2 linked regions of the Coturnix japonica genome follow. The protein of the gene in region 1 interacts with the protein of each later gene in a pairwise test. Links are inferred from orthologs where the notes say so. Each region holds a gene or a part of one and is shown on either strand. Other genes may lie near its edges.

Evidence for each region. The genes of interacting proteins can lie anywhere in the genome.
Region 2: the proteins of TRIM42 (region 1) and STK16 interact in binary tests that used the Homo sapiens proteins (3 or more experiments, as listed by UniProt). The two-hybrid records come from large-scale screens. The link is inferred for Coturnix japonica from reciprocal best matches to the Homo sapiens genes TRIM42 and STK16.

What each region holds. Positions count from the first base shown.
Region 1 is NC_029524.1:5,100,479-5,104,723, forward strand, and holds the start of TRIM42 (tripartite motif-containing protein 42), read left to right. Parts: upstream 1-1,445; 5' UTR 1,446-1,597; coding exon 1,598-1,938; intron 1,939-2,997; coding exon 2,998-3,704; intron 3,705-4,245.
Region 2 is NC_029522.1:24,514,590-24,518,139, reverse strand, and holds STK16 (serine/threonine-protein kinase 16), read right to left. Parts: upstream 2,422-3,550; 5' UTR 2,372-2,421; coding exon 2,286-2,371; intron 2,125-2,285; coding exon 1,905-2,124; intron 1,835-1,904; coding exon 1,701-1,834; intron 1,628-1,700; coding exon 1,507-1,627; intron 1,426-1,506; coding exon 1,330-1,425; intron 1,253-1,329; coding exon 1,131-1,252; intron 1,062-1,130; coding exon 923-1,061; 3' UTR 501-922; downstream 1-500. Other genes in the region: GLB1L (beta-galactosidase-1-like protein), read left to right, coding at 2,592-2,645, 2,759-2,931, 3,054-3,204, 3,287-3,347, 3,543-3,550. UniProt on the Homo sapiens protein: Membrane-associated protein kinase that phosphorylates on serine and threonine residues. In vitro substrates include DRG1, ENO1 and EIF4EBP1. Also autophosphorylates. May be involved in secretory vesicle trafficking or intracellular signaling.

The sequences.
Region 1 (4,245 bases):
TAGAGTCTGTATTATACCAAAATGGAAAACAATGTGACTGGGTATTAGCGTATGGCACACAGGACTACTATTTTTTTTTCCTTATCCTATCAGCTTTCTTTTCTCACAAAAAAATAAATAAAAACTCATACTTCATAAAGAACATTTGCGAAAGAAAAGCAGACAAGCATCAGAAGATATATTTTTTCCTACCAAATGAATGCAAAAGCCATTCAATGTGATAAAATTAAATATGCACAGAAAAAAAGTCTTACTGCTGATAAAACTAGAAAGACAAGTGGTATAAACAACATCCACTGAATGTCCAGGCTATGCCATTCAGCACACAAATCTAATACTTCTGTGTGAAAATCTGATTGACATAATAGACTATAACCGTTGCAAAGAACCCATTATGTCCCATCATGTAGATGGCTGCATATAATGATACAGCCATTGTAGTCTGTAAGGCTCTGGATCAGTGAATTAGAATTTCTTTATGTAGAACAGACTTTCAGCAAATAGGATCAAGACCCATTTTAGTAATTCCCAGTTATGCATTCACCCATCATCACAAGCTGAATTACTAAATTTCAGGAAAACTCAGATACATAAAGTACAGCAGCCACTTATAAAAAGCAGCATTATTGAGTATGTATCATAAAGCTATCACTGTCCTATAAAAGTTTCCAGTAAGAGAACATGCTTTTTCAGATGTCAGCTGCAGGCAACTTAGTGGGTGGCTCTTGTTTTAGTTAGACGTAATCATTACAGTAAACTACTAGTATGCACTTCTGAGAAGTTCATGTATTTTTTACAATAATTTCATTTTTATTTAAAATTATAATCTCTGCAAATAGACAAAAGCACTATTTAAATCTTCAAATAAATTAGCTAAACAAAAGAAGAAAAAGGCGCTTGATATGAAGTAACTAAAGAATTAGGCCTAATACTGCATTTATAGAAGAGTGGTCAGGATAAGGGAGGTGAAGAAACACACTTGGACTTAGAGGGGGAAAATGCAAGTCCACTGTGAATGAGCACTGAACTTGAGCTCCAAGGATGGTTCCTTCCCCAAGTCTCGGAGGACCAAATGCCATACACTGTTCAAGCGCATCAACACTGACAAAGACTTATTACAGTTACAGATAAAAGACATACTCAAAGACGCATATCAAGTGTAAGTTTCCTTTACGTGTCATAGCTATATTTGAAGCCAACAAAATGACTGTAAAGTGTGTAGTTCTAACAAGACTGTTGCCTTGGGATAGCTAATCCCACTGCACAAACTATTCATGCTATTAATGGAGAGTGAGGTAAATGCTGTCTATGATTTCAAGAACAATTAGAAATATCATGACATATAGATGTTGTAAATCAGCATACAGAGCGTGTATAAAATGTGTATAAACATGTATATAGTACCCTGCCTGCATCCTTATTTGAATACATCACTGTGACATCACATTCCATTTAGAACAACATGCACTGCCTACAGCACAGACCTTAACCCTAGAGTCAGACAGATCTCTTGCCTTGTAGGAACCCAACTGCAATAATTTGAAGAGAAGCTAAAAGGATAAATGAACTTTCTTTCAGCTGTATAATGGAGGGATAGATGAAAATGGATATATGCTCATGCTTCTCAAACTGCTGTAATCTGACTTGCCACAGCGTAAAGAAAGAATGCCGCTCATCTTGGCGCTTCCTCTTTACAAATGAGCAGTACTGCAGCTGTTTTCCGTGCCCATACGAAGAGGACAAATCTTACCAGTGCTGCCACTGCTCATGTTCAGAGCATGCAAATTGCTGGTGGTGCTGTTGCTCTTGCTCAAGTAACCCAGACTGCAAATGCTGCTGCTGTGGTGGTGAGAATTCAACGTGTCAATACTATGCAAGCAAATGCTGCAGAATCTATGTCTTTGAACCACGATGGTCAAGAGCACCAGGGACTGCTCAGTAAGTGGAATCAAGGGCTTTTAGTTTTTATAGGTTTAAATTTTTCTAATTTTCATTCCATCTTAATGGATGTCTTGCATTTAGAAGTATAAGATCCAGTGGCTCAGTGGAGTATTTCAAACCACAGGATATCATTCTTTCTTAAAAGCAAAAAAAAACTTTTTTTTTTTTCCCTACCATTCTCTAGAGTGACAAGAAAAGAAATAGCATGGCTGAACATCTGGGCAGAGAAGGTGCTAAACTGAAGCATGGCAGAAGGCCAGATTGTAGTCTCCTAGAATCAGGAGTACATCCTGAATAATGATGCTCTTTGCCAAGGATATAGAAAATGGCCAGGATCATTATAAAAGTAATACTCTTTTTTTCAAACAATAATGTCCACTGGCTAAGAGGAAAGCCAGGATAATCAAGATTTAAAGAGAACGCAGAGAATCAGTTATTTTCTAAAATACAAGAATTATTCTAATTTTAATAAAAATATCCAAATTTTGATTCTTTCATGTTAATTGCCAAAATTTTAATGATGTAAGACTGCTGCTAAGAATAATCTTCATTTGTTTTAAAAATCAGAAATAATGAGTGATTTTTTAAAATAATTAAAATTTAGGATCCTTCTATGTAAATGTGTGTTGTTATTTTAAATTGAAAAGTTTTTTCTTTTTCATTTTATTTATTTTTGTGTTCTGTTTATAAAAAGAAGCAAATGAGAAGGAGACAAAAACACATTCCAGACTGCAGTAAACCAAAATGAAATCTGTTTTTTGGACACCAGTATTAACTCAAGAAATTCAGAGAGACTTGACAAGAGTAAGATTTCTGCCTACTCACATTGTTGGAAACAGCATTCAAATACACTGAAATAGTTACGAAAATGAAAAGAATGAATTCTTAGTATTGTTAACTTAACTGTTTAAATAAAATATCCTGTCCAAATAAAGGGACGGTTGGCATGCAAGATGGATCTGCTTATTTTATCATTCTGTTTCTTAGATTGTGCACTGATATTCTGCCTTACATTTTCATTTGTTTGCTTCCCCCCCCCCATTTGATTTGCTTAAGGTCAGGAGATGTCACATCAAGATTAAGAACTAGATATAGCACATCTGCCAGTATACCAGAAAGGAAAGGCTCCAGCCAGGCTTTTCGTGACCAGCTTGCCTGTCCACTGTGTAAACAGTTATTTCTCCAGCCACTTATGCTGCCATGCAATCACTGCATTTGTGAGAAATGTATAATAAAAAGCAAGACCAAAGCTGAAGCAACAGAAAATTATTACATCATCATATGCCCGGTGTGTAGCAAAGCTCATTGTCTCCCTTGCACAAACAAAATTCAGCTGAGGAAGAATTACCTTAGAGCAAAACTAGCCAAGAAATACATGCGCAGACATGGCATTCTGAAATGGAGATTTGACCACAGTGTAGGACCAGTCCATTGTGAAGCTTGCAGGGAGAGAAGAAAAGTGGCAACTAAAAGATGTAAAACATGTGGAATGAACATGTGCAATGAATGTCTGCATTTATATCATGCTGAGAGTGGAGCTGAAGACCACATTTTTACCAGTGCATCTCAAGAAGATAACGAACAGTGGGCATGCTTACTGCACCACAACTCACACCTCTCTGAATACTGTCTGGATGACCACAAACTGATCTGTTGTTTCTGCAAGAATTTGCAACACAGTGACCATGAGACCATCCCTTTGGCAGCTGCGTGTTCAAGAGAAGCTGCTTCTCTCTCCAATACAATTGTAAAATTTAAAGAAGGTTTGTATTTCTGCTGCTTCTTACACTTCCCTATGCCATTGCAGGAAAGATACTTGCACATACACTTGATGAGCCACGTTAATTCTTTGAATATCACAAAAGGCAGAAAGATGAACCATTCCCACTGTGGAAATACAGAGGAAAGAAGCCTTTAATTGTGTGGAACCACATGACAAATTCAAATACTAGAGAACAAAGGATTTGTATGTGAGATAGTGCATCTTGGTGTAGGAAACTCCATTTCATACTGCGAGACCCAGTGTGAAACAACCACAAATTACACCTACATTTTTAAATCAGAAGTACATGCCTTTTTCCCTGCAGGCAAATTATGAATTGTCTCTCTTCAGTCAGTATTATGATTGTGTCCATGCTGAGTAAGAGGCAAGACAGCCTCAATGTTCTGAGGAGCTACAGCAATGTCACTTCCTTTATCTAAGAGTTCATCCATAGTGTCTGAGTGACAGTGCAGAGACTGGGATTTTATGAATTTCTTTTAAATACTTTGATTTTTGCATATAACACCACAAATGCTGGGGAC
Region 2 (3,550 bases), on another chromosome or scaffold:
TGTTTCACTACTGTGTTTTGGTGAGGGGATTAAAGGAGGGGAATACTCCCTATGAAACCACTTGGCTGCTTCTCTTTCTTTCCCTGCTGCGGGCAGCACAACTGCTGTGTGTCTGCTACACCCCTCCAGCTTCTGGTGCCATCCCAAGACTGTCTTTGCCCCCCTGCAGCAGGGCTGCTGCCCCTTTGCACCCAGGTGCTGGGCTCTGCCTGTTTCTTATGCAGCGTATGCTGCATGAGCCCCTTTCCTGCACTGCACTGCCCCCGCGGGCCTGCACAGCAGCACTGCACAGCAGGGCTCAGCTGTAACCACAGACGGATTTGTCACACTGGAGCCAGAGATTAACTTTCTCTGCTTAACGCTAATGCTGCAGCTGCATGGAGCTGTGGAGCTCTCCTCCCCTGCCATTCCCCTTCAGCAATGCCTGGCTGTGCCTGGCTGCTTGGCCCTGGCCACGTGCCTCGCTCACCCCATTTCCAGCAGGACAGAGGACACTGTGCACACCTCATCAAGAACACCTTTATTCAAAACACAAGGCAACGTGGGTGTCAAGGCAGCGGGCACTGAGCCCCACCTGCCCTCACCTCGTTCCAGCAGCACATACTTTGGGGCAGGAGAGACCTGCCACCCTGTGGGCTCGGGGCGGGCAGCGAGGCCTTGCCCTCAGCAACAGGGCACGTGTGCCAGTCCTGCAGCCTAGTGCTGGCCCGTTTGGCCCCAGCAGCCATGCAGACCCCAGCGGTCGCACAGGCCCCAGCGGCAGCGTTCAGGGTACAAACCACTGCACTGCACACCCCCAAACGACAGTCTGACTCCAAAACACCTCCAGGATGGAGCAGCTCTCCCCAGGGCACAGAAATCCCCCCAGGGGGAAGCAGGCCCAGGGTAGCCCAGCACAGCCTAGGCCAGTGATGGGCCACGTTCAGATACTCGTGGTGATCTGGCCGGCTGGTGTAGCCTGCAGCCCCTCCAGCTGCTGTAGGATGTCCTCAATGCTGGGCCGTTCCTGGGGGTTCACTGTCATCATGGAGGAGAGCAGGCGGTGCAAGGTGGCTGAGTACCTGTGGGGAGTGAGGGGTCGGCATGGCCCCGCCATGGGGAACAGGGCCCACCCAGCTCCAGAGCCTCACCTGGAAGTTGTGGGGATGGTGATGGGGTTCTGCACCGCTAGGGCCACACTGTCACCCTTCTGGAAGATGGCATCGTAGGGGCCCTCCCCGAACATCATGCAGTACAGCACGCAGCCTAGGGACTGCAGAGCAGCCATTAGAGTGGCCATTCACCCCATAGTATGGGGGGAAAGAGGGGGGGCAGTGGCTGCGTCCTCACCCAAATATCCGTGCGCTCATCAATGACACACTGGCTGGGCACCGTGAAGAGCTCAGGGGCACGGTAGGAGATGGTGCAGCGCTGGGCAGCCCAGTCCTGCAGAGAGGCAGAGGGGACGCAGGGCTGGGGGCAGTGGGACGATGTCCCCCCTCAAACCCCCCCAGGACAGGCACCCACCTGCACAGCCAAGGCCTCCCGAGAGTTGGTGACTTCCATGCGGGCCCGGTTCATGGAGCCCAGGTCCATGAGAATAGGCTGGTCGTCCTCATCCAGCAGCACGTTGGTGGGCTTCAGGTCCCTGCAGTGGGAGGGGGACGTCACCAAGCGCCCACTAGAACCCTGCTGCCCCCAGCCCCAGCCATGGCCCCCACCTGTGTGCGTAGCCCTTGCTGTGGATGGCCTGCAGCCCACTGCAGATGCCATGGAGGATGAGAAGGATGCGCTGCTCCGGCATGAAGCTTCCTTTCTCCCTCAGTGCTTCCACCTCGCTCCATAGGGTCCCCCCCTGGCAAAGACACGCAGCGTGCACTCACCGCAACCCTGCGTGGCAATGGGGCTGGGGGCCACCCCCTCACCTTCACATAGGGCAGGAGCAGCCAGGCTTCGTGCTTGGCCCCCTTCTCCACCATGCAGTGTGCCTCCAGGCGCAGGATGTTGGGGTGCTGGAACAGGTTGTGCATCTCCACCTCGCGCAGGGCCGCCTGCCGGTCCTCCTTGTCGTGGCACAGGATGCGTTTCAGCGCGTAGAAGCGCCCGTCCCGCAGCCCCTCCACCAGGTCCACGTAGCTGAAGCCCCTGCGGGGAGCAGAGCCCGAACATCCCCTCCAGCCACGAGCATCTCTCCCCAAATCCTGCCTATCCATCCATCCATTCCGTGCCCCAAACCCCCTTATACCCAACATCCCTCGTGCCCCCGGTGTTCCCCCCGTACCCCAGCCCCCCCAGCCCCCCGTTACCCCTCTGCCAGGCGCTGCAGCAGGAGGTACCGCGCCCCCCCCACGCTGATGGTGCCCCGGGAACAGACGCACAGCGCCTGCCCCATCGTCCACGCGCGTCATCGCCCGCCGCCGCGCGTCACCGTCGCGTCACCCGTGGGACCGACGGGGCGGGACCTGGCTCTAGTGGGCGCGTCCTGTCGCGAGGGGCGGAACGCGGTGCGGGGGGCGGTCCCGTTCGGATCCTCGCCCTCATTGTGCGCTATGGGCCGTGTGCCGGTTCCTTCGCCCGTTCCGCACCGTCCCCCCGGCCGCTGAGCCGCGGTCATGGCGCTGCCGGCCCTCGGGCTGCTGCTGGCGGCGGCGCTGCTGCGTGCGGAGGTGGGTGCGGGAGGGCGGCGGGTCGGGGTCCCGTTCCCCTTTCCCCCCCCCGCCGTTGACCCGCTCTGTGTTCGGAGAGGTGCTGCCGCCCCCAGCTCTGTGCCGTCCCGCAGGCCGCCCCCCCGGTGCGCTCCTTCCAGATCGATTTCGATCGGGACTGCTTCCTCAAGGACGGGGCCCCGTTCCGCTACGTGTCGGGCAGCGTGCACTACGCCCGTGTCCCGCGGGCCGCCTGGCGAGACCGCCTGCTGCGGCTCTACATGGCCGGGCTGAACGCCGTGCAGGTGTAAGTGAGCCTGGGGGGTCACCCACGCGGGGCATCCCACGCCTCTCCTGCCCGGTGCTGTGCGCGGAGCTCCGCACCCCGCAGCCTGCACCGCCTCGGGTTGCCATCCCCTTCTCCCCCAGCTACGTGCCCTGGAACTACCACGAGCCGCAGCCGGGAGTGTATGACTTCAGCGGGGATCGGGACGTGGAAGCCTTCCTGGACCTGGCGGCGGAGCTGGGGCTGCTGGTGATCCTGCGCCCGGGGCCCTACATCTGCGCTGAGTGGGAGATGGTGAGTCCTTGCCTTGCACCGGGGCTGCCGAGCGGCCCCGCTGGCCCCGTGCTCACTGACGATGCTCTCCCCGTTCCTGCAGGGCGGGCTGCCTGCCTGGCTGCTGTGGACGGCAGACATCGTCCTGCGCTCCTCTGACCCAGGTGAGCTCAGCCCGTGGCCACAGCCGTGCTGTTCTGGTGCCCGTCCCCTCGCACTGCTCAGCCCAGCCCCAAGCTTGGCTTTTTCCATTCTCTTCTCCCTCTCTGGGAGCCTGTAGCTCCTCCTCTGCACCCCCCCGTCCCCCTCGTCACAGGGCCAGTGGCTGTGGGTTGGAGCTGAGCTGCCCCTGTCCCCAGCCTACCTG